Linked DNA regions of Macaca mulatta. The protein of the gene in region 1 binds, or shares a complex with, the protein of each later gene. Links are inferred from orthologs where the notes say so. Each region holds a gene or a part of one and is shown in the gene's direction. Other genes may lie near its edges. The genes, in order: MED26, MED23, MED7, MED21, MED18, MED13 and MED1.

What was found.
Region 2: MED26 (region 1) and MED23 share a complex: the UniProt entries of both Homo sapiens proteins name them as parts of the mediator complex. The link is inferred for Macaca mulatta from reciprocal best matches to the Homo sapiens genes MED26 and MED23.
Region 3: MED26 (region 1) and MED7 share a complex: the UniProt entries of both Homo sapiens proteins name them as parts of the mediator complex. The link is inferred for Macaca mulatta from reciprocal best matches to the Homo sapiens genes MED26 and MED7.
Region 4: the proteins of MED26 (region 1) and MED21 are in contact, whole or in part, in a cryo-EM structure (PDB 7EMF), measured with the Homo sapiens proteins. The link is inferred for Macaca mulatta from reciprocal best matches to the Homo sapiens genes MED26 and MED21. Residues at the interface, in NP_004822.2 of Homo sapiens: Ser481, Arg482, Asn483, Glu484, Ile485, Ser488, Tyr489, Ser491, Arg492, Ser495, Leu496, Ser498, Ser499, Ser500, Leu528, His529, Ser535, Pro537, Thr538, Asp539, Leu540, Pro541, Gln549, Asp551, Leu552, Ile555, Gln556, Trp560, Gly562, Val563; in NP_004255.2 of Homo sapiens: Ala2, Asp3, Arg4, Leu5, Gln7, Asp10, Ser14, Gln18, Asn21, Gly24, Val25, Gln28, Cys29, Tyr54, Leu57, Phe58, Leu61, Arg64, Thr65, Lys67, Asp68, Val71, Leu72, Asp74, Ser75, Leu76, Pro77, Ser78, Glu79, Glu80.
Region 5: MED26 (region 1) and MED18 share a complex: the UniProt entries of both Homo sapiens proteins name them as parts of the mediator complex. The link is inferred for Macaca mulatta from reciprocal best matches to the Homo sapiens genes MED26 and MED18.
Region 6: MED26 (region 1) and MED13 share a complex: the UniProt entries of both Homo sapiens proteins name them as parts of the mediator complex. The link is inferred for Macaca mulatta from reciprocal best matches to the Homo sapiens genes MED26 and MED13.
Region 7: MED26 (region 1) and MED1 share a complex: the UniProt entries of both Homo sapiens proteins name them as parts of the mediator complex. The link is inferred for Macaca mulatta from reciprocal best matches to the Homo sapiens genes MED26 and MED1.

Annotation. Positions count from the first base shown.
Region 1 is NC_133424.1:17,072,403-17,077,228, reverse strand, and holds the start of MED26 (mediator of RNA polymerase II transcription subunit 26), read left to right. Parts: upstream 1-1,567; 5' UTR 1,568-1,649; coding exon 1,650-1,751; intron 1,752-1,903; coding exon 1,904-1,978; intron 1,979-2,640; coding exon 2,641-4,296; 3' UTR 4,297-4,826. UniProt on the Homo sapiens protein: Component of the Mediator complex, a coactivator involved in the regulated transcription of nearly all RNA polymerase II-dependent genes.
Region 2 is NC_133409.1:36,660,526-36,664,602, reverse strand, and holds part of MED23 (mediator of RNA polymerase II transcription subunit 23), read left to right. Parts: intron 1-2,443; coding exon 2,444-2,568; intron 2,569-3,974; coding exon 3,975-4,077. UniProt on the Homo sapiens protein: Required for transcriptional activation subsequent to the assembly of the pre-initiation complex. Component of the Mediator complex, a coactivator involved in the regulated transcription of nearly all RNA polymerase II-dependent genes.
Region 3 is NC_133411.1:166,007,565-166,012,208, reverse strand, and holds the start of MED7 (mediator of RNA polymerase II transcription subunit 7), read left to right. Parts: upstream 1-1,645; 5' UTR 1,646-1,704; intron 1,705-4,644. UniProt on the Homo sapiens protein: Component of the Mediator complex, a coactivator involved in the regulated transcription of nearly all RNA polymerase II-dependent genes.
Region 4 is NC_133416.1:29,388,123-29,392,929, forward strand, and holds the start of MED21 (mediator of RNA polymerase II transcription subunit 21), read left to right. Parts: upstream 1-1,851; 5' UTR 1,852-1,884; coding exon 1,885-1,926; intron 1,927-4,807. UniProt on the Homo sapiens protein: Component of the Mediator complex, a coactivator involved in the regulated transcription of nearly all RNA polymerase II-dependent genes.
Region 5 is NC_133406.1:212,601,370-212,606,045, reverse strand, and holds the start of MED18 (mediator of RNA polymerase II transcription subunit 18), read left to right. Parts: upstream 1-1,571; 5' UTR 1,572-2,509; coding exon 2,510-2,572; intron 2,573-2,791; coding exon 2,792-2,930; intron 2,931-4,676. UniProt on the Homo sapiens protein: Component of the Mediator complex, a coactivator involved in the regulated transcription of nearly all RNA polymerase II-dependent genes.
Region 6 is NC_133421.1:49,720,016-49,724,092, reverse strand, and holds part of MED13 (mediator of RNA polymerase II transcription subunit 13), read left to right. Parts: intron 1-145; coding exon 146-1,062; intron 1,063-2,399; exon of another isoform or gene 2,400-2,524; intron 2,525-3,744; exon of another isoform or gene 3,745-4,077. UniProt on the Homo sapiens protein: Component of the Mediator complex, a coactivator involved in the regulated transcription of nearly all RNA polymerase II-dependent genes.
Region 7 is NC_133421.1:63,743,565-63,746,663, reverse strand, and holds part of MED1 (mediator of RNA polymerase II transcription subunit 1), read left to right. Parts: coding exon 1-2,851; 3' UTR 2,852-3,099. UniProt on the Homo sapiens protein: Component of the Mediator complex, a coactivator involved in the regulated transcription of nearly all RNA polymerase II-dependent genes.

The DNA of each region.
Region 1 (4,826 bases):
AGACCGAGACCTGACTTCTGAGCCCTAGAGCCTGAGATGATAAATGTGTGCTGTGTAAGATGCTGAGTTTACAATCACGTGTTATGGAAACTCATGCCACGCAGTCTTGGCAAGGATGTGGCCTGGTGGGAATGGAATGGAGCAGCCTCCCTGGGGGCGAGGTGACCACCCTGCATGGATGTGAAGCCCCGGCTCACCCGCGGCTGTCTGTGCATTAGCCCAGAGTCAAGTCTGTCACTGCCGTCAGTTGCAGCCTTGTTTTGTAATGGCGAACAGAAAGTGCCTAAGTGTCCCACAACATTCAAGTCGGGCCTTCCCCACTCTGGAAGGGATGGTGAGCCAAATGAGGGGCTCTGTTTGAGGCTGGACATTGCTGATGTTAAGTCAGAAAAGGCAAGAACCACGGTCAGTTTGGTTTTGAAATATGTGACAAGTGTAGATGTATACGCCTGCATACACAAGGGATATTTTTGGAAAAAAATGCAAGGTAATGCTACAGTGGCTGGGTCAGAGATGCCCATTTCCTTGTGTGCCCTTTTACGCTGTTTTAATTTGTATCATGTGCCTGCTTAACTCCTTTATCATGTTGGGGTGGGGGTGGGGGGGAGTTGTGTAATCTACTCACTGTGGTTTCCTCAGGGCCCCTGGGTTCCCGCCTGCCAGCCAGCCCACCAGAAACCTGTAGCTGCTGGAGGTGGCGGTTGAGCGGTAGGAATTCTTGTTGTAACAATTAAAGGAGTTAGTAATGTGTGGGAAGTGCTTAGAACAAGGTGTGGCTCCTAGCAAGATCCTAAAAGGGTGGGATTACTCGGTCATAGGATGTGTTCATGTTTCACTCTGCCAGACAAAGTCCAGCCGTTCCCAAAGTCGGCTGTACCCCCAGAAGTACCTAGTATTGTCAGTGGGGTGCGTGTATCATATATCCATTTGTGGGTTCAGTTTGAGTTTTCCTAATTATTGATAAAGCTGAGAAGCTGAGCATTAGCGCTGACATTTCATTGCACAGTGCCTGTTCCTGTCTTGTAGCCACTGTGCGCTGGGTTCCTGGTCAGCTGCACTGCTGCACAGGCATTCTCTGTGTGTTCCAGATACAGCTCCTTGGGGCTTGTGGTCTATGCCTTCTCCCACTTTGTGACTTTCTGCTCTCTTTATGGTGTCTTTGGATTCAAATCGACTGGTTTATTATGTATTGAATTTTTTTTTTTTTTAACGGAGTCTCGCTCTGTCACCCAGGCTGGAGTGCAGTGGCGTGGTCTTGGCTCACTGCAACCTCTGCCTCCCGGGTTCAAGCAGTTCTCATGCCTCAGCCTCCCGAGTAGCTGGGACTACAGGCGCATGCCAGCACACCCAGCTAATTTTTTTATTTTTAGTACAGATGGGGTTTCACTGTGTTCGCCAGGCTGGTCTCAAAACTCCTGATCTCGTGATCCGCCCTCATCGGCCTCCCAAAGTGCTGGGATTACAGGCGTGAGCCACCCGCGCCCAGCCTATGTATTGATCTTTTAAGCTTTGTGGATTTTATTCGATGAATTCTTCAGTGTCTCCTCTCCCACTCCCATCAGATGGCAGAGTAGAGGTCATTTTAAGTATCAGGAGCAGCTCTTGTTTCACAAGCATCCTGGGTTTCAGCAGGTGGGTGGATATGTACCATGTACACTGGAGGGTTTGGAGCAGACCGCACACCACACACTGGAGGAGGTCGGACAGCGGGTGAGGATGAGCACTGGGCGCCAGGTTGGCCTGGGGAGCAGGTAGGAGACTACATGGAGTGGGGGCTTCAGTGCTGCCAGCTCCTCTTGCTCTGGGGTTGGGGAGAGACTGGAGCAGGCTGGGGTAGGGTGTCCCTGCCTCCCAGGGGAGAAGGGCAGGAACCTGACAAATGGCTTTTTCTTTATTTCCACAGATCCGGAACATGGTGGCGGTGCTGGAAGTCATCTCCAGCCTGGAGAAATACCCCATTACCAAAGAGGCACTTGAGGTGAGTATCCCAGACCCCAGCATTTGGGAGTGCAGAATGGGGGACAGGGGACGGCACCAACCCAGTTCCTTCCCCAGCTTCTAGGAGCGTGTGTCTTTGCTTCAGAGGACCAAGAGAGGCGGTGTGCCCTCACAGCTTGTGCCCCGTGATCTTGCTCTCCTGTGGCCACTGCAGTGACCAAGTGGCATTAATCCCATCCTACCTGCCCAGCACACTTCATGGGCACGTGGGCACGTGGGGACATGGGGACATCAGGAGAGGTGTGCTTGGGGGAGGCTCCAATGAGAGGCGCCGTCCCCAACCCTCCACTTGAAGCAGACCCTCTGTGCTGCCGCCTTGGCCACAGCACCCTCTCATCCAGAAAGCCTCCCTGGCAGTGTCCTTACAGTGGCCTTGACAGCCCCCTGGCACCAGGAGCCTGCGGGACAGCACTGCTGAGAAGCCACCTGGGACTCTGAAGGTCTGGGGACTAGGTTTGAGAATTTATATTGTCACAAAGGACCGGAAATCCCCAGGAGTTTTGTGCCAGGGAGGCTGGCAGTTTAGGGCTCAGTGGGAACCAGGTCATTTCATTGTCAGGGCCATTTCCCACCATTTCTGGCTCAGCTCATGGGGAAGTCCCTGTCCCGAAAGTATGTCATCATCTCTCTTTCTGGTTGTAGGAAACACGACTTGGGAAGCTCATCAACGACGTCCGCAAGAAAACCAAGAACGAGGAGCTCGCCAAGCGGGCCAAGAAGCTGCTGCGGAGCTGGCAGAAGCTCATCGAGCCAGCGCACCAGCATGAGGCAGCGCTGCGGGGGCTGGCGGGGGCCACTGGCTCTGCCAACGGGGGTGCACACAACTGCCGGCCGGAGGTGGGGGCGGCTGGCCCGCCCAGGAGCATCCATGACCTGAAGAGCCGCAATGACCTCCAGAGGCTGCCCGGGCAGCGGCTGGACAGGCTGGGCAGCCGCAAGCGCAGGGGTGACCAGCGTGACCTCGGCCACCCAGGGCCACCACCTAAGGTCTCCAAAGCTAGCCACGACCCCCTGGTCCCCAACTCATCCCCCCTCCCTACCAATGGCATCAGTGGGAGTCCAGAGAGCTTCCCTGGCTCCCTGGATGGCAGTGGGCATGCAGGCCCAGAGGGCGGCCGCCTGGAGCGTGGCGAGAACGACAAGCACAGTGGCAAGATCCCCATCAACGCTGTGCGGCCGCACACCAGCTCCCCAGGCCTGGGCAAGCCCCCTGGACCCTGCTTGCAGCCAAAGGCTTCGGTGCTGCAGCAGTTGGACAGGGTGGATGAGACTCCGGGGCCTCCCCACCCCAAGGGGCCCCCTCGCTGCTCTTTCAGTCCTCGGAACTCACGGCATGAGGGCTCCTTTGCCCGGCAGCAGAGCTTGTATGCACCCAAGGGCTCCGTGCCCAGCCCCTCACCGCGGCCCCAGGCGCTCGATGCCACACAGGTGCCGTCACCGCTTCCACTGGCACAGCCGTCCACACCCCCTGTACGGCGGCTTGAGCTGCTGCCCAGTGCGGAAAGCCCAGTGCGCTGGCTTGAGCAGCCGGAAAGCCACCAGCGGCTGGCGGGGCCGGGCTGCAAGGCAGGGCTGTCCCCAGCCGAGCCCCTCCTGTCCCGGGCGGGCTTCTCCCCAGACTCCTCCAAGGCGGACAGTGACGCTGCCTCCTCAGGGGGCTCGGACAGTAAAAAGAAGAAGAGGTACCGGCCTCGAGATTACACGGTTAACTTGGACGGGCAGGTGGCTGAGGCGGGCGTCAAGCCTGTCCGGTTAAAAGAGCGGAAGCTCACCTTTGACCCCATGACAAGACAGATCAAACCTCTGACCCAGAAAGAGCCAGTGCGGGCAGACAGCCCTGTGCACATGGAGCAGCAGTCCAGGACAGAGCTGGACAAGCAGGAGGCCAAGGCCAGCCTCCAGAGCCCCTTTGAACAGACGAACTGGAAGGAGCTGTCACGCAACGAGATCATCCAGTCCTACCTGAGCCGGCAGAGCAGCCTGCTCTCATCGTCGGGCGCGCAGACCCCGGGGGCTCACCACTTCATGTCTGAGTACCTGAAGCAGGAGGAGAGCACCCGGCAAGGGGCCAGGCAGCTGCACGTGCTGGTGCCTCAAAGCCCGCCCACAGACCTCCCCGGGCTGACCCGGGATATCACACAGGACGATCTCGACAGAATCCAGGCCAGCCAGTGGCCGGGGGTGAACGGGTGTCAGGACACACAGGGTAACTGGTATGACTGGACGCAGTGCATATCACTTGATCCGCACGGCGATGACGGGCGCTTGAACATTCTGCCTTATGTCTGTTTGGACTGACCGGCCCGTCAGCCACGAAGTGCATTCCCATCTTGCAGAAGCCGGGCGGGCGGGCAGGCAGGTGGGTGGGTGGCCGGGGCCCAGCTGCCTCCTGCACTGGGAACTCGGGGAGTCCGGCCCGGGCAGGAGGGAGGGGGCGGGAGTCACGCGGTCTCTCTGCACTCTTCCCTCAAAACTCTCCTTTTGTGAAATGCTGCTACCAGTTTACTAACAAAATTGCGAAGGAAGGACCGCGTGGAAGGAAGGACGGCAAAGTGAGTTCAGAACTCTATAGCAAACCAGCTATAAAAAGCGTTAGTCCCTCACCCCTGAAGAGGTGCGGACACTTTCCAGCACCTGAAAGCTGGGACCTCAGTTGCAGGCAGGCACAGAAAACCTGTGGAGAGGTTACCTTTAACACAGCAACAGAAGCACGCATCTCATCTCTCTTGCATTTTCTGTTCTTTAATTTGGCCCTGAGTGTCTGTGAGACAGTGGGCCATGCTGCCTCTGTTTGCTCCCTACCCAGCCACTGTCAGGTCAGTGTTGTC
Region 2 (4,077 bases), on another chromosome or scaffold:
ATTTCTCCTTCACTTATGAAACTTAGTTTGGCTGGATATGAAATTCTGGGTTGAAAATTCTTTTCTTTAAGAATGTTGAATATTGGCCCCCACTCTCTTCTGGCTTGTAGAGTTTCTGCTGAGAGATCTGCTGTTAGTCTGATGGGCTTCCCTTTGTGGGTAACCCGACCTTTCTCTCTGGCTGCCCTTAAGATTTTTTCCTTCATTTCAACTTTGGTGAATCTGGCAATTATGTGTCTTGGAGTTGCTCTTCTCAAGGAGTATCTTTGTGGTGTTCTCTGTATTTCCTGGATGTGAATGTTGGCCTGCCCTACTAGGTTGGGGAAGTTCTCCTGGATGATATCCTGCAGAGTGTTTTCCAACTTGGTTCCATTTTCCCCCTCACTTTCAGGCACCCCAATCAGACGTAGATTTGGTCTTTTTACATAATCCCATACTTCTTGCAGGCTTTGTTCATTTCTTTTTCTTCTTTTTTCTTTTGGTTTCTCTTCTTGCTTCATTTCATTCATTTGATCCTCAATCACTGATACTCTTTCTTCCAGTTGATCGAGTCGGTTACTGAAGCTTGTGCATTTGTCACGTATTTCTCGTGTCATGGTTTTCATCTCTTTCATTTCGTTTATGACCTTCTCTGCATTAATTACTCTAGCTATCAATTCTTCCACTTTTTTTTCAAGATTTTTAGTTTCTTTGCGCTGGGTACGTAATTCCTCCTTTAGCTCTGAGAAGTTTGATGGACTGAAGCCTTCTTCTCTCATCTCGTCAAAGTCATTCTCCGTCCAGCTTTGATCCATTGCTGGCGATGAGCTGCGCTCCTTTGCCGGGGGAGATGCGCTCTTATTTTTCGAATTTCCAGCTTTTCTGCCCTGCTTTTTCCCCATCTTTGTGGTTTTATCTGCCTCTGGTCTTTGATGATGGTGACGTACTGATGGGGTTTTGGTGTAGGTGTCCTTCCTGTTTGATAGTTTTCCTTCTAACAGTCAGGACCCTCAGCTGTAGGTCTGTCGGAGATTGCTTGAGGTCCACTCCAGACGCTGTTTGCCTGGGTATCAGCAGCAGAGGCTGCAGAAGATAGAATATTGCTGAACAGGAAGTGTACCTGTCTGATTCTTGCTTTGGAAGCTTCCTCTCAGGGGTGTACTCCACCCTGTGAGGTGTGGGGTGTCAGACTGCCCCTAGTGGGGGATGTCTCCCAGTTAGGCTACTCGGGGTCAGGGACCCACTTGAGCAGGCAGTCTGTCCCTTCTCAGATCTCAACCTCCGTGTTGGGAGATCCACTGCTCTCTTCAAAGCTGTCAGACAGAGTCGTTTGCGTCTGCAGAGGTTTCTGCTGCTTTTCTTACTTGTTTTTTAAATAGCAACGTAATATTCCATTGTATGGCTGTACCTTCCTCCATTTAACCAATCTTCTACTGACTCTTAAGTTTCTTCTTAACTTTTTCTCATTTAACCAGTGCTGTGATGAATAATATTATGCCTGAAAAATAGGATAAATTCCTAGAAATAGTATTGCTGAGTCAAAAGCGTTACTGGTTTGTAAGTTTTATAGAAATTATTAAATTTTCCACAAGGGTTATACTAGTTTATACTTCCACCAGCAGTGTTTGAGAGTATCTTTTTATTATAACCTCACAATAGAGTGTTACGCTTTTTGATCTTTGCTGATCAAAAACATGAGAAATTTTATCTCAGTATAATTTTATTTTCATTTCTCAGTGATGTTGAACATCTTTCCAAAATTTTTTTAAAAAATTCATTAAACACTTTATAAATTATGATGTGGCCCTCTAATGGAGAAACCAGGAAGAAAATAGGTATTTCCAAATCATTGTTATATGTGCCACAATAGAAGTATGAGAACAGTGGTCATGGAGAGAAGCAGAACATTATAGGCTCTTTTTGGAGATATCCTAGAAGATAAACTTTGATACAGCACAACATTTGACATCATATTTAAAGTTTTGCAAGTCTAGAAATGTGACATGTCATTAGATTCATAATGGGCTCTTCTTTAGGCTCTTAGGGATTAGATTCACACCTAATTCTCATAAGGCTGATACATACTGATCCATAATGAATTTTACTCCCAGTGACAGTAATATTTATATATGCCATAAAGGGCAATGTTTACAATGCCTTACAATGATCTGTGTTAAGAGTTTTCTATAGACCATTGATATGTTAGTTAATTAATACTTTTGAAGGTCCCATGTAATAAAAAGGTAGCATTTTATCTATATAATTGCAAAATTTTAAGCTTAATGTGACAAATACTAAATCTGAACATTTTAATTTTCCTTTTTTAAAAAATTATTTTCATCCACAGATGCTCAGAGTGAAGTATTTCATTCATAGTATTGGTATACTTCCAGTTGTAGTATTAGCTATTTCTTATAAAAATGTAACTTTAGACCCCAAATAAAATCATTCTCTAATTTTCCAGGAGTCTCATGAACAGTGTATCCAGTGGATTGTTAAATTTATTCATGGTCAGCATAGTCCTAAAAGAATTTCTTTTCTTTATGACTGCTTAGCAATGGCAGTTGAGACTGGTCTCCTTCCACCCAGGTACGTTTAATGGGTATGAGCAATCTGACGAATTTTCTTTTCTATATGTGATTGGAAATTGGTTGAGGTTGTTGTTGTGAAAAGATAAGAGAATGAAGAAGAAAGTGAGGTTCATCAAGTAATCCTTTATATAATACCTCAGGTTTTAGTTTTTAGGAGTCATAATCTTTGAATTATATAATGCTTGTGGGCTCAAAATCAGATGTTTCTGCCCAGGTGCTGAGATTATTCTCTTTGATTAGTTTGTAACACTTTACTTTTGCTGCATAACCTCAACACCTCATGGCTTAAAACAATAATACTCAGGTTTTAAAATTATTCATGGTTTTGGTGGTTGACTGGGCTTAAGAGGCACTTTTTCCTCAAGGTCTTAATGATTAATGATCGATGTAGCTGGGGCTGGAGCATGGCAAAAGCTTCCCCACTCAGATATCTGGTGGTTAGTTCCTGGCTGTCATCTGGAACCTCAGCTGAGATTATTAGCCAGAACCTCCACAGGCCCTCGCCTTGTGGCCTGAACTTTCTCACCTCATGGTGGAGCCTAACAGCAAGTGTGCAAAAGAGGGCTAGACAGAAATTGTGTCACCTTGTCTTAGAAGTCATACTGCATCCTTTCGGCCATAGTCTTAGGTCTGCCCACATCTAAGGAGTGAGAACATAGACTTTCCCCCTACTTCTCCTTGGGAGAAATGTCAGTGTCACATTTCAGAAGAAGATGTGGGATCAAAAATCTTGTTGCCACCCTCTTGGAAAAATCCAGTGTACCACAAGGTGATAGATGGTAAACATGTAACTGCAAGCTCCAGATACACTTCTTTCTAGTAAAATATAACGTAGTGAATATTATTTCATTCTTACTTTGTTTTTGATCTTTCATACAAGTAAAGAATGTAAAATGCTATACATATTTATAAGTGTACTTAGTAATAATGCACTTTTATGAAAGATATTTGAGAGGATAAATATAATACAGTCCATAGACTATGGCTATATTAGTCTGTCTCGTGCTGCTAACAGAGACATACCTGAGACTGGGTAATTTATAAAGGAAAGAAGTTTAATTGACTCACAGTTCGGCATGGCTAGGGAGGCCTCAGGAAACTTAGAATCGTGGCAAAAGGCACCTCATCACACAGGGCGGCGGGAGAGAGAATGAGTGCCCAACGAAGGGGGAATCCCCATGTGAAACCGTTAGATCTTGTGAGAACTAACTCACTATCATGAGAACAGGATCGGGGAAACTGTCCCCCATGATTTAAGTGGTTTTACTCATGACACATGGAGATTATGGGAACTACAATTCAAGATGAGATTTGTGTGAGTACACAGCCAAACCATATCGGTGGCTATTAGAGAACTTGGAAAATTCTGTCTTATAACTGGAATGGCTGTTTCTTTTTTTATAGGCTGGTTTGTGAATCCCTGATAACCTCTGACACTCTTGAGTGGGAAAGAACACAGCTTTGGGCCTTAACATTTAAACTGGTTCGGAAAATAATTGGGGGAGTG
Region 3 (4,644 bases), on another chromosome or scaffold:
AATCCAGATGAGAGATAATGGCAGCATGGCATAGGACCATACCAGTAGGGACGGTGGTCAGTCATATTTGGAACTTTATTTACTTATTTTTAAATAGAGCTAATGCAAAAGGCTGGTATGGTAGTTTCGGTGGGGTATGGGAGAAAGGAGAAAAAGGTGATTCCTTAGATTGAACATTTGCAATTGAGTAAAGTGCAACGGGGTAAAGATGTCTGTCACCACTGGATATGAGGGTCTGAAGTGCAGAGGAAACGGTGTTCCAGGGCCTGCATGTATCTGGGTGATATCTGACTGAGAAGTGGTTGGAGAACTGAGTCCTGGGGCAATCCAAATAATCAAATGTGCCAAATGCTGCTGACAGAGGGAGTAAAACGAGGACTGGGAACAAGCATTGGAAGTCACGGGTGCAGGACATATTGGGGTCAGCAGTGAGGATGAATTTCTTCAGGAAATAAATTTATATGTGCGGGGGAATTAAAATGGGGGAGGCCGGGCTACGTGGTTCACGCCCGTAATTCCAGCACTTTGGGTGGCCAAGGCGGGCGGATCACTGTAGGTCAGGAGCTCGAGACCAGCCTCACCAACATGGTGAAACCCTGTCTCTACTAAAAATACAAAAAAAGGAAAAAAAAAAAAAAAATTAGCCGGGTGTGGTGGCACATGCCTGTAATCCCAGCTACTTGGGAGGCTGAGGCACGCGAATCGCTTGAACCCCGGAGACAGAGGTTGCAGCGAGCCGAAATCGCGCCACTGCACTCCAGCCTGGGCGAAAGACACTCCGTCTCAAAGAAAATAAATAAATAAATAAAACAAAATAAACCAACAAAAAACCCTGCATATCTATATTTTCGAATTTTTATGTAAGATGTCTTCATTGTATGGGTTCAATTAAAAAAGAAAAGACAAAAGGAATGGAACTACCAGCTGCGACTGTCAGCAGAAGAGTTGTAATGCGGGCAGCGGGTGGAACACACGAACAACCTTTGCTAGGTTTTCTTTGGGAGGTTATTTTCACGTCATAAATGTCTAAATTCATGGAAGTCTTACAAGAGCATGTTACATATTAAAATATAAGATTTTTTTTTTTTTTTTTGAGACGGAGTCTCGCTCTATTGCCCAGGCTGGAGTGCAGTGGCCGGATCTCAGCTCACTGCAAGCTCCGCCTCCCGGGTTCACGCCATTCTCCGGCCTCAGCCTCCCAAGTAGCTGGGACTACAGGCGCTCGCCACCTCGCCCGGCTAGTTTTTTGTATTTTTTTTTTAGTAGAGACGGGGTTTCACCGTGTTAGCCAGGATGGTCTCGATCTCCTGACCTCGTGATCCGCCCATCTCGGCCTCCCAAAGTGCTGGGATTACAGGCTTGAGCCACCGCGCCCGGCAAAATATAAGATTTTTTCTAGTCAATAAGGGGTCTATAAAAAATAAAGCAATAAGATGTCTTGTTTAATTTTATGCCTTAAAGAAACGAAGAAACAACCCTCACCTACTACTTTTAAAAGTCAGTGAAAGGGGTGGCGATGGCAGGAGTCGAATATACGCAGGCGCAATAGCGAGCGATCGGTCTGAGGCGGATCTAGAATCTCGTTAAAGGACAGCTCCTACAGCCAATCAAAGACAGAGTCGGTGGCTTCTTCCAGGAGGAGACCGGAAATTGGTTTCGGCTGCAGAGGGGGAAGGCGGCTACCAGTGTAAAGCCAGAGTTGAGGTGAGTGGGCGGCAACGGCTTGGGGCTCCCGCGTGTGTGCGTTTTTTTCTTCCGGACCCCGCGGTTTCCTCTGTGCTGGGCTGGGAACTGGGGAGGCATGGAGGAGTTCGGCCTCCGAAGACGCTCTCTCGTCTTTCTGTCCCGAGTCTCTCCGAGAGCGCGGCCTCCCCGCCGCTCGTGGAGGTCTCGGGATGGACAGCCTGGAGGAGGGGGCTCTTAGCGCTGCAGTCCCAGGGCTTCCTCCGTGTGGGGACGCCGAGCCGGAGTGGAGGTTGGGAGACGTGGTGTCTAGTCCCCTCGCCGCTGTTTTTCTAGGCTGTGTCGCCTTGGGCGAGTTATTTGCCCTTTCTGGCCCTTTGTAACATGAGAGTAGCCCTCCCTGCCCTTCCTTCTTCTGGGAGCAGTTGTGAAACAGCTGAGATACGGGGGCAGGCGAGGGCAGTAGATCCCAACCAAGCCTAATCGTCAGGTCCATCTGGAGAGGTTTTTAAAGCGACATACCAGGGCCCATTCACAGTGGACAGAATGAATCAAATCTCTGGGGCTGGGACCCTGGAATATCTGTCGTCTTCTGGTGAGGCGCCTTCTCCCCCAGAACAAACACTAGATGTTGGATCTTGAGTCTAAGAACCAGTTATGATGCTTGGCTCTGGTTTTATTAAAATAAGACTTCCATCGCCTTTGAAAAGTTCCATCTAGAGAGACAGTAGAGAAAAATATAATTTTTGTAATATGCAAGTTCTAATTGTACAATTAGATGCTTCACGGCTTAGAGATATAAGAGAGCTTGCCCTTTGGAGCTAAAGGGACCTGGGATAAGAATTCCTGTTGTACCATTTATTAACTTTTTGATCTGGGGCAACACTTCCCCTCATTGAGACTTGGGATCTTCACCTCTAAAATGAAATTGATAATAGAACTTAATTCATGGGACTCTGTGGTGGCTCACGCCTATAATCCCAGCACTTTGGGAGGCCGAGGTGGGCGGATCACTTGAGGTCGGGAGTTCCAGACCAGCCTGGCCAACATGGTGAAAACCTGTCTTTACCGAGAAATAAAAAATTAGCTGGGCGTGGTGGCACACACTTGTAGTCCCTAGCTACTCAGGAGGGTCATGCAGGTGAATCCCTTGAACCCGGGAGGCAGAGGTTGCGGTGAGCCCTGATCATACCACTGCCCTCCAGCGTGGGAGACAGATTGAGACCTTGTCTCAAAAAACAAAACAAACAACCTTAATTCATAGAATTGTTATGAAGATTATGTTAGAGAGGCCATAAAACAACAGTATCTGTCACGTAGTTGCCTTAGGAAAATGACAACCTAAGTACAGGAATGCACATCGTGTAGGAAAGTACAGAGCAGCACTCCTCACCTAAAAAGGTTTGAGTGGAATGAAACGTAAGGTGTCAAAAACTGTGTTTTGAAGTACCAGATCAATGTTAATTCCTTGATTTTGGTAATTGTGCTGTGGGTAGAAGAAAACATTCTTGTCCTGGGAAAACACATTGAAGTATTCAGGGGTGAAGGAATGAGAAACCAATAAAGCAAATGAAGGAAAATGTTAACATTTGGAGAATCTGAGTGAAGAATATGAAGTGTTCTTTGTATATTCATGCACTTTTTCTGTAATCTGAATTTATGTTATAAGTTTTAAAATGTTGGCTGGGAGTGGTGGCTCACACCTGTAGTCCCAGCACTTTGGGAGGCCAAGGCAGGAGGATTGCTTGACCTCAGGAGTTCAAAACCAGCCGGAGTAACATGGCAAAACTCTGTCTCTACAAAATATACAAAAATTAGCTGGGCGTGGTGACATTTGCCTCGTACTCCCAGCTGCTTGGGAGGTTGAGGTGGGAGGATGGCTTGAGCCTGGGAGGTCGAGGCTGCATCATCCTATGCACTACTGTGGCATGGTGGAAACTCAGGGCTGCACCACGCCTGCCCTTAGTACCTCACGAATTCTAAGTATAATATTGCTTCTAATAGAATACTTGCCCCACCTGATGTTAGAGGGTGTTATATCTTGAAACTTTGATAATACCAGTGTAAAGGAGCACTTCAGAATCTTCTCATTGGATGGTATATCTAGGCTTAAGGTAGAGTAAGTAGAGGTTATTATGGCCATAGAAGATACTGGGTTTGAACCTGGGGTTTGAAATTTCTGTGATAGTTGTAGGGAAGTTAATGTGTCCATACAGGCCGGGCGCGGTGGCTCACACCTGTAATCCCAGCACTTTGGGAGGCCAGGGTGGGCGGATCACCTGAGGTGGGGAATTAAGAGACCAATTTGGCCAACATGGCGAAATCCTGTCTCTACTAAAAATACAAAAATTAGCCGGGCATGGTGGTGTGCGCCTGTAATCCCAGCTACTTGGGAGGCTGAGGCAGGAGAATTGCTTGAGCCCAGGAGGCGGAGGTTGCAGTGAGCTGAGATCGCACCACTGCACTCCAGCCTGGGCATCAGAGCAAGACTCCGTCTCAAAAAAAAAAAAAAAAAAAAAAAAGTTAATGTGTCCATATAAAATTGCATAGTTTACTGTGACAAAAAGGATATGGAACTGAATCATTTCATTCAGGAACTTTGGATAATACCATGTCTTTAGGATTTAGCAGTGTTAATTTTGTCAGTGTTTATGAGAGATACAAGTAAGTGTTTGCTATTGGAAATCAATCTGTAACATAAAGCAAAAGTGATTCTGATATGAGATTGGGAGACAACGTGTAGTTTGGTTATGGAGGAGTAGAGAAATGGGGGCATAAATGGTGAAGGGTGTGGAATCCAGAAGATTTTCTTGTTTTTTTTTTGAGACAGATTTTCGCTCTGTCGCCCAGGCTGGAATGCAGTGGTACAGTCTCGGCTCACTGCAAGCTCCGCCTCCTGGGTTCACACCATTCTCCTGTCTCAGCCTCCTGAGTAACTGGGACTACAGGCACCCGCCACCA
Region 4 (4,807 bases), on another chromosome or scaffold:
GAGAAATCCTGAGCTAGATGCACAGACTATATTTGGCAGGTGGGTTATTCCTGAAGTCTATGGCTTCAAGAGCTTCATAAACCCCTTTTCAAATGTAGGCTAAGTTGAGAGTCTGGTCTGGGGAAAGGGTCCACAGCTTTTATCTGATTCTTAAAAAGATCCGTGGCCAAAAGAGGCTGAAGAACCAGAAAAACCAAGGGGTCAGGGCCCTTGGCTGAAACAGAGGATTATTTCACTCAGAAAATTATCAAGAGGTGAGGCTGGGTCTGTTTGCTGGAGCCAGATTATAGTAAATCTTGACAACTAGGCAGAGATAGTTGGACATCAACCTGAGGTCTCTGTGGAGGCACGGAAGACCTACTAGGAAGATAGTGGCAGGACAAAAACTGTGTCACAATATGAGTTGTCTTGAAGTGACTTCTCTACTTCAAGTGCCCAAGTTCCCTTCAATCACGCTGCAAAACTTAGTATCCTTACGGAGTGGACTAAACTGTATTCAATCAGTCACCAATCCGTATTAATTATTTTTCTCAAAAATATATTTTAGTCTTTTTTTCCTCTCTTATCAGGGTCAACCAACACCCTATTCTAGGCCCAGCTCACCTTAATCTTGGACAACTGCAAAACCTTCCTCTTGGTGAGTCCTTGGCTTATTCATCTTTGCACACTGAGCACTGGATATACTTCCTGGCATGTGGCAGGCATTCAGTAAGGTACACGCTCAAGTGAAGGTGGGAGGAAAAGGTTGTAGATTCCCCCAAGTTACAGTTAGAACAAATTATGGAGTGATTTCTCATTAGTTCCATTATGGGGAGCATGCCTCATCCACGTTCTTAATGAGGCCCCAGTAAGTCTGTAGACTGTTTGGGGATGAGGGTGGGGCATGGGTGTGAAGCAGAAGTGGTGCTTCCCAGCAAGGGTTGGGATAAATCCAGCAAGCTGAGTTCCCCGGGGACTGTGTCCACCACCTACCCCGCAGCCGCAGGAAGGTAATCACGGATAATCAACCTGAGAAAGAGGATATGAGAGTTTGTTTGATGTCTCCAAACCTGTTATTTGCCGACTCCAAACTCATTTCTTACCAGACTATCCTCAGGCTAAATTTCCTTAAATACCAAGTTTCTATTATCACTCTTCACACTTAATCTCTCAATAAGTCCCAACTCTAAATCTAAATTGTGCAGCTGATTTTTCTTGGCCGGGCGCGGTGGCTCATGCCTGTAATCACAGCACTTTGGGAGGCCAAGGAGGGCGGATCACGAGGTCAGGAGACGGAGACCATCCTGGCTAACATGGTGAAACCCCGTCTCTACTACAAAAAAAAAAAAAAAAAAAAAAAAAAAAAAAATTTAGCCGGGCGTGGTGGCGGCGCCTAAAGTCCCAGCTACTCGGGAGGCTGAGGCAGGACAATGGCGTGAACCCGGGAGACGGAGCTGGCAGTGAGCCAAGATCGCGCCACTGCACTCCAGCCTAGGCGACAGAGCCAGACTCCGTCTCAAAATAAATAAATATATCTACTCTTCAATGTAGTCAATAAGTAAACACATGAGAGGATAGGAGAAATCACTAAAAAAAAAAAAATCCCCGCTGAATCCAACAATCTCTGAAGCCTTTAACACCTAACAACCTCAAAGAGAGTATTTCAGCCCCTCAAAGCGATGGACCCCAGGCCGCTCCCCAGTTACTCAAAAGATCCAGCCTCTCCTCTGGTGTAGCCCGCTCTAAGGCCGCCTCGGCAGTACCACCCACTCCTGACGGGGCGGGGAGTTCTCTCCGACCCCACCCCTTCCAAGAAGGCAGCGCTGGGATTGGCCATGACGCGTACCAGAGCTGCCCAGTCGCGGAAGAGCAGCTGTTTTGGCGTCTGTTTGCTGCAGGAAGAACATGGCGGATCGGCTCACGCAGCTTCAAGACGCTGTGAATTCGGTGAGGAATTTCATTCGATTAGCCTCTGTCTTTCTCTTTCCTGAGGTAAAGCAAGGGAGAAAAGGGGCCCAAGAGGCAAAACTTGGAAGTGGAAAGCGGACTGAGAAACAGGGCTTCGGCATAAAGCGCTCTCTCGGGAGGCGCCACCGCGAACTCGGAGGTGTGAGGCCGGCTGCCGGGCGGTGCTTGAAGGTGCGGGAGGGAGCAGCCTCTTTCGCTTGAGGAGACCGGGAAGATTGCTCTTGTCCGGGTGGGGCCGCCAAGACTTGTCGGCTGCGCGGTCCTGTCGTATTCCCTGAGGACAGTTTTATTTTCTTGGCAGCGGTGCTTACGGGATCTCTTTTGGGGGTTGGGAGGAGAAGCAGGAGCTCTTTTCTTTCCTCATCAATTTGAATCCACCAAGGGAGATCTCGTGCTGTGGATGACTGGGTTTTTGTAATGAAATGCCAGCCGAGAGTATTCCTTCACCAGCGCTTTCAGGTTGGTGCGGAGCGACGCTGAGGTGAGAGATTTTCTTTCATCTTCGCTCCTTCCTGTGGGCCCAGAGCCTCCTTCCATCTCTTGTCTCTTGGCCACCCCTCAGAATGCATCAGTTTGGGGACATCTTTATGATAGGAAATCTTCTGATTCTCGTATGTCTTTCCGTTTATTTGAGTCTTTCTTTTTTCTTTTCTTTCCTTTTTTTTTTTTTTTTTTTTTACTTTGGAGACTGTGTCTGTCGCCCAGGCTGGAGTACAGTGGTGCCATCTCGGCTCACTGCACCCTCCGCCTCCGCCAAACAAGTAGCTGGGATTACAGGCGCCCTCCACCACGCCCGGCTGATTTTTCTATTTTTAGTAGAGACGGGGTTTCACCATGTTGCCCAGGCTGGTCTCGAACTCCCGGCCTCAAGCGATTCTCCCGCCTCGGCCTGCCAGAGTGCTGGGATTACAGGTGTGAGCCACCGTGCCCGGCTTACAAGTCTTTTTTAACGTCTCCCCCAAATTCTACGCTCTATTAAAGGCCAAGTCTTGTAGGTAGCTCCCCAGCTTTGTTCCTTCTGGTAATTTTTCCTCCAAGCTATGCCTGAGTGGAAAGCAGAAGCAAAGCCAGAGGATGCGCATACAGTCATGGGCCCTTAATGAAGGGGTTATGTTCTGAGAAATGCATGGTTTCGGCGATAACTTTTTTTTTTAATAAGTAGAAGTACAATGTATAATAACGAGGAAACAGTAAATACATAAACCAGTAACAAAGTCATTTAGTATCATTATCAAGTATCATGGACTGTACTTAATTGTATGTGCTAGACTTTCATACACTGGCAGTGCCGTAGGTTGCTTTACAGCAGCGTCACCACAAGCACAGACCGCTATGATGTCACTAGGCAGTAAGAATTTTTCAGCGTTGTTATAACCATAGGGGACCGACATAATATATGCATCCCGTTGACCAAGACGTCAGTGGGTATTCTCTTGCTGCAATGGGTATACTTATTACCATTACCAGTTACATAGTTTTCTGTTAAATAGTTTTCCATTGATAGTTATGTTTCTCATTGTCTGATTGTGATTTAACGTCCTAGATGAGGGGCTAGAGAGAAAACATGCTGAGAGGAAAACCTAAGTACCTGGTTTCTTTGCCAGTTTTTTTTCCTCACTGTAAGCTAATAACTTGGCATTTTTCTTAATACATCAGGCTTTGTACACTTGAAGAGTGTGAATCTACTTGTGATAAACTGATCTACCCTGGGTGAATAACACTAGTTTTTAAGGCTGAGAGGACCAGCTTCTAAATGTTGAATTCACCAAGATAAATTCTGCCCTGCAGGGACTTGCCTGAGCTGCCAGTCAGCCTTCCTCAGGGAACTACTCCTTTGAGATTTTACAAAATCAAATTGTAATGATGCTGCTGGATAGAAATCTTATTTTAGGGAAACTTTTGCATATTCATACATGTCTTGTAACTAGAAGGATAGTAAGGACAGAGTGAATATGGCCTTAACTCCAGGTTAGGCATGCTGATAATTGGATTTTGGAGAAAAGCCTTTAGGATAACTAGTATGAGTGCCTACTGTGTATAAGCACTATCATGTTTGCAAAGAGATACTCCTTAAGGAGGTTAAAAAAATGTCATATACTCAGGAGACATTTAAGTGATGGAAAAACAGTATGTGGTTAGGGAGTTATAATGAATTGAGTATTTTCAGCTTTAGGTTCTGAAGTAAATTGGAATATGGAGTGATGTGAACCAAAATAGAGGGAATCTTCTTAGCATTTATCCTAATCAGATTTGTATAACTTTTAACATTTGTTCTACCCTCTGAAAACCATGAGTGCAGAAGCTATGTCGCATTCACTATGTCTCTATAGTGTTTAAATGTAGTACTTGTCATAGTTATTTTCCATAAAGTTTTGTTGACTAAATGGATCTTAAAAGTTTTTTTTTTTTTTTTTTTGAGACGGAGTCTCTCTGTGTCGCCCAGGCTGGAGTGCAGTGGCCGGATCTCAGCTCACTGCAAGCTCCGCCTCCCGAGTTTACGCCACTCGCCTGCCTCAGCCATTCTCCTGCCTCAGCCTCCCCAGTAGCTGGGACTACAGACGCCCGCCACCTCGCCCGGCTAGTTTTTTGTATTTTTTAGTAGAGACGGGATTTCACCGTGTTAGCCAGGATGGTTTCGATCTCCTGACCTCGTGATCCGCCCATCTGGGCCTCCCAAAGTGCTGGGATTACAGGCTTGAGCCACCGCGCCTGGCCTAAAAGTTTTTGAAGGATGGAACAGATAGACACTGTGTTGAATATTTTGTGTATTTCCTCTTCCTCACAACAATGCTGTAATAGGAGAATGTATCCAATTTAAAAATGAAAAATGCTACCTGGGTTAATAGAGCTGGGATCTACG
Region 5 (4,676 bases), on another chromosome or scaffold:
CCTGGGTTCAAGCGATTTTGGTGCCTCAGCCACCTGAGTAGCTGGGACTACAGGCGTGTTCCACCATGCCCGGCTAATTTCCTCTTTTACATTTTTAAAATCTTTTTCTGACAGTTGTTTCTCAGCCGGAGTTGTACTAAAGCGCCTAACTGGTCTTTTTTCTTTAATTTTTTTCCAGACAGGATCTCCCTCTGTTGCACAGGCTGGAGTGCAGTGGCACTACCTCAGCTCACCACAACCTCTGCCTCCTGGGCTCAAGCAATCCTCCCACCTCAGCCTCCCAAGTAGCTGGGACTGCAGGTACAAGCCACTACGTTCAGTTAATTTTTGTATTTTTTGTAGAGACAGGGTTTCACCATGTTGTTCAGGCTGGTCTTAATTCCTGAGCTCAAGCTATCTGCCCGCCTTGGCCTCCCAAAGTGCTGGGATTACAGGCCTGAGCCACCATGTCCCGCCTGGTCATTTTTCTCTAGGCTCTCTCCTTTCCCAAACTTTTCTCCATGTTGCAACCAGGGTTCTTTTAAAGCTCACACGTGTTCTTTTAGTCTGGCACTGCAGAGTACTCCTGGATCTGGACCTACTCCTTTTCCGGACTTTTAAATTTTTATTTATTATTTATTTATTTATTTATTTGAGACAGAGCCTCTCTCTGTATCCCAGGCTACAGTGCAGTGGGCGATCTCGGTTCGCTGCAACTTCTGCCTCCCACGTTCAAGCGATTCGCCCACCTCAGCTTCCCTAGTAACTGCGATTACAGGCGCGTGCCACCATGTCCGGCTAATTTTTGTATTTTTAATAGAGACGGGGTTTTACCATCTTGGCCAGGCTGGTCTCAAACTCGTGATCTCAAGTGATCCACCTGCCTCGGCCTCCCAAAGTGCTGGGGTTACAGGCGTGAGCCACCGCGCCCTCAGTTCATTTTTCTTTTTAAGCCCATTATAGTCTCTGTAAGTCCTATCAGTTCCAAGAGACTTTCTGCACAAATACATCTCCAGGTTGTCAAACCTAAAAATATTTTCCTAGAGGATGGCCTGTGACGTCAAGGCGCCAGGTAGACCCCGGAGGAAAGCTCCAAAGGAGGCCGCCATCTTTCTTACAGCAGCCCGGCATTTTGCGCATGCGCTTCTGATTGTCTGTCCGCAATGACGCTCTTCGGCCTTCTCGGCACCCATACGTTTGGGAACGGCAGTTTCGAGGTTTGTGAGACTTCGGCTTCCGACCGGAAGTGAGAAGAGCAGGAAGTTGGCTGGTTCCACCGGTCTGGGGGCTTCCCGGGCTCCGGTAACCGGAGGACTGGGATCTAATCGTCGCTCAAAGGCTCCTAGGTGCGCGGGTGCATATAATTCCCGACTTCTCGAGAAGACACTAGAGCCTCAAGGAGGTGTGCTTCTAGTGTTTAAGTGGACACGTGTTGTGGATGCTGGCTTAGAAGGACCTATATACCATCATTTTAAAATAACTTCCTCTTGGCTCTCTCTTTTTTTTTGAGACGGAGTTTCGCTCTTGTTGCACAGGCTGGAGTGCAACGGCGCGATCTGAGCTCACCACAACCTCGCCTTCCGGGTTCAAGCGATTCTGCTGCGTCAGCCTCCCGAGTAGCTGGGATTGCAGGCGCTCGCCACCAGGCCTAGCTAATTTTTTGTATTTTTAGTAGAGACGGAGTTTCTTAATGTTGGTCAGGCTGGTCTCGAACTCCCAACCTCCGGTTGATCCGCCGGCCTCGGCCTCCCAAAGTGCTGGGATTACAGGTGTGAGAAACCGCGCCTGGCCTTGGCTCTCTTTAAAAGGCATTTTTAGGCTAGCCGCAGTGACTCTCCCTCCTGTAGTCCCAGCTACTCGGGAGGCTGAGGTGGGAGGATCGCTTGAGCCCAGGAGTTCGAGGTTATAGTGAACTAGGAACTCCCCCACTGCACTCCATCCTGGGCTACAGAGCGAGATCCTGTCACCAAAAAAGAAAAGGGTATGGGGGAAAGGCATTTTCAGAGCGATGGAATGCCTAGATTCTAGTTTGGTCCCAACTCTGCTACCAAGTTGCTGTGTGTATCCTGTCCCTCTCTGAGTCTCAATGTCCTCATCTATAAAAATGAAGGTCCCTTAAGACACTTTTCAGTTCTTCTGAATTTTGTTGCCTCTTTATTATCTCGTTTGAGCCACATAACCTTGGGAGTTAAAAATCATTGGCCTTTGGCCGGGCGTGGTGGCTCACGCCTATAATGCCAGCACTTTGGGAGGCCGACTCACCTGAGGATCATCTGAGGCCAGGAGTTCAAGGCCAACCTGGCCAACATGACAAAACTCTGTCTCTACTAAAAATGTAAAAAAAAATTAGCCGGGTATGGTTGTGGGTGCCTGTAATCCCAGCTACTCGGGAAGCTGAGGCAGGAGAATCGCTTGAACCTGGGAGGCGGAGGCTGCAGTGAACAGAGATTGCACCATTGCACTCCAGCCTGAGCGACAAGAGTGAAACTCTGTCTCAAAAAAAAAAAAAAAAAATTGCTGGTCTCATTTTATGAGGAAGATACTGAGTCCCAGGGTGAGGGGTTATAGACAGGACTTTCTCAAGATTGCACAGGTAACTTGGAGGTTTCAGAACTTGAGACTAGAAGGCAATGCTGTAACTCCATGACCAGATCTCCTTTTTATATTTCTGTATCATCAGTTCCTGGAACTGGCCATGTAAGACACTGAAATGTTTTTAAATGAATGAATCTTTTGATTTGAAGGCCAGTGCCACAACAGATTTGGTCTCTCTCGACTACTCTGATGTATAAACAAGTGAACTCTTTTCCAGGTATATCCCGTGCCTTACCTGACTGGGGGCTCTGAGTCCAGTTGTGTTGTCTTCAACTTAGACACCATGGAGGCACCTCCAGTCACCATGATGCCTGTCACTGGGGGCACCATTAACATGATGGAGTACCTATTGCAGGGTAAGTGAACCAGGGAACTTGGATTACCTGTTTTCCTCTTCTCTGTTCAGCTTCCCTTAAGATGAGAGACAACACAAAAGCAGCCTGCACAGTTTCTGGCACCCAACTATGTTTTTAACTGTTACTTTAAATTACAGTTTTACATGCACTAAACATATTAAATCTGCCATCTTGGCTGGGTGCAGTGACTCACGCGTGTAATCCGAGCACTTTGGGAAGCCGAGGCGGGTGGATCACGAGGTCAGGAGATTGAGACCATCCTGGCTAACACGGTGAAACCCCGTCTCTACTAAAAATACAGAAAGAAATTAGTCCGGCGTGGTGGCGGGTGCCTGTAGTCCCAGCTACTTGGGAGGCTGAGGCAGGACAATGGTGCAAGCCTGGGAGGCGGAGATTGCAGTGAGCCGAGATCGCGACACTGCACTCCAGCCTGGGCGACAGAACGAGACTCTGTCTCAAAAAAAAAAAAAACCTTAACATATTTAAGTGTACTGTTCAGTATTGTTAAGTATATTAACATTGCTGAACAACAGATCTTTAGAACTTTGGTTTATTGTGAGTAGCTTGAAAAAATACTTAGTACAACTGTTTTTTTCTTTGAGACAGAGTCTCGATCGGTCACCCAGGCTGCAATGCAGTGGCATGATAACAGCTCATGCAACCTCCACTTCCCGGTTCAGTGGATTCTTGTATTTCAGCCCCCCGAATAGCTGGGATTGCAGGCGTGCATCACCATGCCCGGCTAGTTTTTGTATTTTTAGTAGAGAGTTGCAGTTTCATTATGTTGGCCAAACTGATCTTGAACTCTTGCCTTCAAGTGATACACTTGCCTTGGCCTCCCAAAGTGCTAGGATTACAGGGATGAGCCGCCACGCCCAGCCTAAAATGCTTGTTTATCATCCTATAAAACTGCAACTCTTTACCCCTTAAACACTAATTCCCACTCCCCTCTATGCCAAACCCTCAGCAGCTATCTTTCTAGGTCCTGTTTCTCTGATTTTTTTTTTTTTTAAGATGGATTCTCACTCTGTTGCCCAGGATGGAGCACAGTGGTGCAATCTCAGCTTACTGCAGCCTCCACCTCCCAGGTTCAAGCAATTCTCCTGCCTCAGCCTCCTAAGTAGCGGGGTTACAGGCGTGAACCACCATGGCTAGCTAATGTTTGTATTTTTAGTAGAGACGGGGTTTCTCCACGTTGGCCAGGCTGGTCTTGAACTCCTGACCTCAGGTGATCCACCTGCCTTGGTCTCCCAAAGTGCTGGGATTACAGGCGTGAGCCACTGCGCCAGGCCAGATTTTGTCAACAAGTATCTGAATATGTTCCAAACATTTGAGCCATAGCCATGGAGGGAGAAAGATGACTAAAAAATAATGTATGTCAAGCCAGCTATTACAGGCTTATGACTGTAATTCCAGTCGTTTGGGAGGCTAAGGCTGCAGTATTGCTTGAGTTCAGGAATTCAGGATCAGTCTGGACAACATAGCAAGAACTCACCTCTACTAAAAATAAAGAAAACTTAGCTGGGCATGGTGGTATGTACCTGTAGTCCGAACTACTTGGGAGGCTGAGGTGGGAGGATCACTTGAACCCCCAAGATGGGGGCTGCAAAGAGTTATAATCTCGCCACTGCTCTATAGCCTGGAGACAGAGTGAGACCCTATCTAAACAACAACAACAACAACAACAAATCTATGCCATAAAAATAAAGCAGGAAAGTGGCTAGAGATTGGTAGGACACATACTAT
Region 6 (4,077 bases), on another chromosome or scaffold:
CTGTACTTGTAATTCTTGCAATACTTGTCCTTTCGTAATTTTCTATGTAATTGAAAAACATTTGGGACGTTTTTAGTTGTATTTCATGTTACTAATATGTTCCTTTATATATGTATTTGATTTTCTTTTACCCTGGTGATGATAGTGATGGAAGTAATATGGATCAAGAATATGGCCCTGCTTATACACCTCAAACTCATACTTCTTTTGGGATGCCTCCTAGCAGTGCACCTCCTAGTAACAGCGGAGCAGGAATTCTTCCTTCTCCATCCACCCCTCGGTTTCCAACTCCAAGGACTCCAAGGACTCCTCGAACTCCTCGTGGAGCTGGTGGACCTGCTAGTGCTCAAGGTTCAGTCAAATACGAAAATTCAGACTTGTATTCACCAGCTTCTACCCCATCTACATGCAGACCCCTTAATTCTGTTGAACCTGCAACTGTCCCTTCCATCCCTGAAGCACACAGTCTTTATGTAAACCTCATCCTTTCAGAATCAGTTATGAATTTGTTTAAAGACTGTAACTTTGATAGTTGTTGCATCTGTGTCTGCAACATGAATATCAAGGGTGCCGATGTTGGAGTTTACATTCCAGATCCAACGCAGGAAGCACAATATAGGTGTACCTGTGGCTTCAGTGCTATCATGAACAGAAAATTTGGAAACAGTTCAGGATTATTTCTTGAAGATGAACTAGATATCATAGGACGCAATACAGACTGTGGCAAAGAAGCAGAAAAACGTTTTGAAGCTCTCAGGGGTACCTCTGCTGAACATGTTAATGGAGGACTAAAGGAATCTGAAAAACTATCTGATGATTTGATATTATTGCTACAGGATCAGTGCACTAATTTATTTTCACCCTTTGGAGCAGCAGACCAAGATCCTTTTCCTAAAAGTGGTGTAATTAGCAATTGGGTACGTGTTGAAGAGCGTGACTGTTGCAATGACTGCTACCTTGCATTAGAACATGGGCGTCAATTCATGGATAATATGTCAGGAGGAAAAGTTGATGAAGCACTTGTGAAAAGTTCATGCTTACACCCCTGGTCCAAAAGAAATGGTAAGTATGCTAATAAAATACTGTTTTGTTTGCTTATTTCACTTTAGTTGTATGACTTGGCTTTTCATTCTTAGGAAAAAGTAATAAAGGCAATTACCCATATAGCAAATAAAGACATTTAAAGTTGGACTTAAAACTCTTTTAAGGATGATGTTTTTAAAGGGTGAATTTCTTAGCGGTTTAATTTAATGTCACCAATAAAAGTATGGTTATTATAAATCTGTAATTATATACTTACGTAGGAATATGAAAGGCACATTGCGTATATTAGCATAACATTGCTAATGGTCTGCTTTATTCAACATTCTTTCACTCGTTAAGTATTTACTGGGCACCTTGTATGTGCCAGGTGTTATCCTAGGTTCACTGTTGAACAAAGCACACATATTCTTTGCCCTTTTTGAATCTATAATTTAGTGGAGAAAATAGGAAATAAACAAAAAAGCTTATAATAGAAGTAATTTGGAGAAAAAGCAGAGTAAAAGAGTAGAAAAAGACATGTATGTACTATTTTAGATGTATGGTCAGATAAGATACTGAGGAGATAGCATTTGGGCAAACTCCTACATAAAGTAGAATATGAGCTATGTAGTTAAATGAGGGAAGAGTGTTTCAGGCAGCGCAAACACCCTGAGGGAGTATTTTGTTTTTACGTGTTTGAGGAACATTAAGGTGACTGATGTTGCTGGAATGCTTTGGGTGATAGGGAGACTGGAAGGAGATGAAATTTAAGAGGTAGCCATTCACCAGCATCATTTAGAGTCTTATAGACCATGTAAGGCCTTTGTGGTTTGCACTAAATGTGATGGGAACCTATTGAACAGTTTTGACAAGGGGAGTAACATGATCCTTATTCTGATTGTTTTTTAAGAGATCTCTCAGCCTGGCACGGTGGCTCATGCCTGTAATCCCAGCACTTTGGGAGGCCGAGGTAGGCGGATCACCTGAGGTCAGGAGTTCGAGACCAGCCTGACCAACATAGTAAAATCCTATCTTTACTGAAAATATAAAATTAGCTGGGCTTGGTGGCGGGCACGTGTAATCCCAGCTACTTGGGAGGCTGAGGCAGGAGAATTACTTGAACCTGGGAGGCGGAAGTTGCAGTGAGCCAAGATTGCACTATTGCACTCCAGCCTGGGCAGCAAGAGTGAAACTCCCATCTAAAAAAAAAAAAAGATGGCCGGGCGCAGTGGCTCATGCCTCTTATCCCAGCACTTTGGGAGACTGAAGTGGGCAGATCATGAGGTTAGGAGTTTGAGACCAGCCTGCCCAATATGGTGAAACCCCATCTCTACTAAAAATCCAAAAAATAGCCAGTGTGGTGGGGCGTGCCTGTGATCCCAGCTGCTCAGGTGGCCGAGGAGAGGAGTTGCTTTAACCTGGGAGGCGGAGGTTGTGGTGAGCTGAGATAACGCCACTGCACTCCAGCCTGGGCAACAGAGCAAGACTCTCTGTTGCTATTGTGTGGAAAATAGCCTTGGGGGTTGGCAGTAGTGAAAGTGAGAATAGAAGCAGGATAAATCAGTTGGAAGGCAGTTTCAGAAGCTTAGGTGAAAGATGATGGTAGCTTAGACAAGATAGGAGGCAAGCAAGATGTAAGTAATAGGTTTTAGGTATATTTGGGAAATAGAACCTACAGGGTTTGCCGATAGACATGTAAGAAAAGATGAGGCATCAATAATAGCTTGAGCAACTGGGTGAATGGTGGTACTAACTACAGAGGAGGGAAACACGGGAGTAAATCAGATACACATTTGGAGATAATATGTTTTAAATTCAGAGGAATGATTGGGTCCGGAGATTGAAAAATTTTGTGTGTGAGTTATCATCATGAAAAGCTGTGGATCTGGATGAAATAACCTATAGAGTAATTGTAGATAGAGTAGTACAAGGATGGAGCTGACATTTAGAGGTGGGGAGGGAGAAGAAGCGCCAGGAAAGAAAATTGAGAAGGAGGTTGGAGGAAAACCAAGAGAGCATGGTATCCTAGAAATCAAGATTAGGGAATTTTTGTTTGTTTGTTTTGAGACAGAGTCTCGCTCTGTCACCAGCCTGGAGTGCAGTGGCGCGATCTCGGCTCACTGCAACCTCCACCTCCCGGGTTCAAGCAATTCTCCTGCCTCAGCCTCCTGAGTGGCTGGGACTACAGGTGCCCGCCACCACACCTGGTTAATTTTTTGTATTTTAGTAGAGACGAGGTTTCACTGTGTTGCCCAGGCTGGTCTCGAACTCCTGAGCTCAGGCAATCCACCCGCCTCAGCCTCCCAAAGTGCTGGGATTATAGGCGTGAGCCACTGTGCCCGGCCCGGGAATATTTAGAAGAGAGTGATCATCTCTATCAAATACTATGATACATTAAGGTGAAAACTGAGACAGCCTATTGGACGTGACCACATAGAAGTTGGTGGTCACCTTGATAGACAGTTTCAATCAACCTGATTAGAGTGGGTTCACAAAAGAACAGGATGAGAAGCAAACTTAGACAATTTTCTGGGGACTTTTGCTGTAAATAGCAGAGAAATTGCATAATAGGGTTAAAACAGAGGTTTATTATTATTTTGTTAAAGGTGCATTGGGAGTGATCCTATAGAAAGGAATTTTTTTTTAATTTAAAAGCCCAGGAGTTCAAGACCAGCCTGGTGAACATGGCAGACCCATCTCTACTAAAAATACAAAAGTTAGCTGGGTGTGGTAGCATGCACCTGTAGTCTCAGCTACTTGGGAGGCTGAGGTGGGAGTATAGCTTAAACCTAGGAGGTGGAGGATTCAGTGAACCATGATTGTACCACTACACTCCAGCCTATTTGACAGAGTGAGACTCTGTCTCAAAAAGAAAAAGACGGGCATGTAATGCAGGGTTGAGTAATAATGATAGTACAGATAGAATGTTATATGGCTTCTGAAAATGAATACAGTTATATATAACAAATATGAATCTTAGTGATGCTATTGAGGAGAGGAAGAAGGAACAAGTCCCAGGAGATTACATATAGTCAGATACCCGTTAAAAATACC
Region 7 (3,099 bases), on another chromosome or scaffold:
TTCGATGGCCGGCAACACCAAGAACCACCCGATGCTCATGAACCTTCTTAAAGATAATCCTGCCCAGGATTTCTCAACCCTTTATGGAAGCAGCCCTTTAGAAAGGCAGAACTCCTCTTCCGGCTCACCCCGGATGGAAATATGCTCGGGGAGCAACAAGACCAAGAAAAAGAAGTCATCAAGATTACCACCCGAGAAACCAAAGCACCAGACTGAAGATGACTTTCAGAGGGAGCTATTTTCAATGGATGTTGACTCACAGAACCCTATCTTTGATGTCAACATGACAGCTGACACACTGGATACACCACACATCACTCCAGCTCCAAGCCAGTGTAGCACTCCCCCAACAACTTACCCACAACCAGTACCTCACCCCCAACCCAGTATTCAAAGGATGGTCCGACTATCCAGTTCAGACAGCATTGGCCCAGATGTAACTGACATCCTTTCAGACATTGCAGAAGAAGCTTCTAAACTTCCCAGCACTAGTGATGATTGCCCAGCTATTGGCACCCCTCTTCGAGATTCTTCAAGCTCTGGGCATTCTCAGAGTACCCTCTTTGACTCTGATGTCTTTCAAACTAACAATAATGAAAATCCATACACTGATCCAGCTGATCTTATTGCAGATGCTGCTGGAAGCCCCAGTAGTGACTCTCCTACCAATCATTTTTTTCATGATGGAGTAGATTTCAATCCTGATTTATTGAACAGCCAGAGCCAAAGTGGTTTTGGAGAAGAATATTTTGATGAAAGCAGCCAAAGTGGGGATAATGATGATTTCAAAGGATTTGCATCTCAGGCACTAAATACTTTGGGGGTGCCAATGCTTGGAGGTGATAATGGGGAGACCAAGTTTAAGGCCAATAACCAAGCTGACACAGTTGATTTCAGTATTATATCAGTAGCCGGCAAAGCTTTAGGTCCTGCAGATCTTATGGAGCATCACAGTGGTAGTCAGGGACCTTTAATGACCACTGGGGACTTAGGGAAAGAAAAGACTCAAAAGAGGGTAAAGGAAGGCAATGGCACCAGTAATAGTACTCTCGCGGGGCCAGGATTAGACAGCAAACCAGGGAAACGCAGTCGGACCCCTTCTAATGATGGGAAAAGCAAAGATAAGCCTCCAAAGAGGAAGAAAGCAGACACTGAGGGAAAGTCTCCATCTCATAGTTCTTCTAACCGACCTTTTACCCCACCTACCAGTACAGGTGGATCTAAATCTCCAGGCAGTTCAGGAAGATCTCAGACTCCCCCAGGTGTTGCCACACCACCCATTCCCAAAATCACTATTCAGATTCCTAAGGGAACAGTGATGGTGGGCAAGCCTTCCTCTCACAGTCAGTATACCAGCAGTGGTTCTGTGTCTTCCTCAGGCAGCAAAAGCCACCATAGCCATTCTTCCTCTTCTTCCTCATCTTCTGCTTCCACCTCAGGGAAGATGAAAAGCAGTAAATCAGAAGGCTCATCAAGTTCCAAGTTAAGCAGCAGTATGTATGCTAGCCAGGGGTCTTCTGGATCTAGCCAGTCCAAAAATTCATCCCAGTCTGGGGGGAAGCCAGGCTCCTCTCCCATTACCAAGCATGGACTGAGCAGTGGCTCTAGCAGCACCAAGATGAAACCTCAAGGAAAGCCATCATCACTTATGAATCCTTCTTTAAGTAAACCAAACATATCCCCTTCTCATTCAAGGCCACCTGGAGGCTCTGACAAGCTTGCCTCTCCAATGAAGCCTGTTCCTGGAACTCCTCCATCCTCTAAAGCCAAGTCCCCTATCAGTTCAGGTTCTGGTGGTTCTCATATGTCTGGAACTAGTTCAAGCTCTGGCATGAAGTCATCTTCAGGGTTAGGATCCTCAGGCTCGTTGTCCCAGAAAACTCCCCCATCATCTAATTCTTGTACAGCATCTTCCTCCTCCTTTTCCTCAAGTGGCTCTTCCATGTCATCCTCTCAAAACCAGCATGGGAGTTCCAAAGGAAAATCTCCCAGCAGAAATAAGAAGCCGTCCTTGACAGCTGTCATAGATAAACTGAAGCATGGGGTTGTCACCAGTGGCCCTGGGGGTGAAGACCCACTGGACGGCCAGATGGGGGTGAGCACAAATTCTTCCAGCCATCCTATGTCCTCTAAACATAACATGTCAGGAGGAGAGTTTCAGGGCAAGCGTGAGAAAAGTGATAAAGACAAATCAAAGGTTTCCACCTCTGGGAGTTCAGTGGATTCTTCTAAGAAGACCTCAGAGTCAAAAAATGTGGGGAGCACAGGTGTGGCAAAAATTATCATCAGTAAGCATGATGGAGGCTCCCCCAGCATTAAAGCCAAAGTGACTTTGCAGAAACCTGGGGAAAGTAGTGGAGAAGGGCTTAGGCCTCAGATGGCTTCTTCTAAAAACTATGGCTCTCCACTCATCAGTGGTTCCACTCCAAAGCATGAGCGTGGCTCTCCTAGCCATAGTAAGTCACCAGCATATACCCCCCAGAATCTGGACAGTGAAAGTGAGTCAGGCTCCTCCATAGCAGAGAAATCTTATCAGAATAGTCCCAGCTCAGATGATGGTATCCGACCACTTCCTGAATACAGCACAGAGAAACATAAGAAGCACAAAAAGGAAAAGAAGAAAGTAAAAGACAAAGATAGGGACCGAGACCGGGACAAAGACCGAGACAAGAAAAAATCTCATAGCATCAAGCCAGAGAGTTGGTCCAAATCACCCATCTCTTCAGACCAGTCCTTGTCTATGACAAGTAACACAATCTTATCTGCAGATAGACCCTCAAGGCTCAGCCCAGACTTTATGATTGGGGAGGAAGATGATGATCTTATGGATGTGGCCCTGATTGGGAATTAGGAACCTTATTTCCTAAAAGAAACAGGGCCAGAGAAAAGAAACTATTGATAAGTTTATAGGCAAACCACCATAAGGGGTGAGTCAGACAGGTCTGATTTGGTTAAGAATCCTAAATGGCATGGCTTTGACATCGAGCTGGGTGAATTAGAAAGGCATATCCAGACCCTATTAAAGAAACCACAGTGTTTGATTCTGGTTACCAAGAAGTCTTTGTTCCTGTGCCAGAAAGAAAAAGTTAAAATACTTGC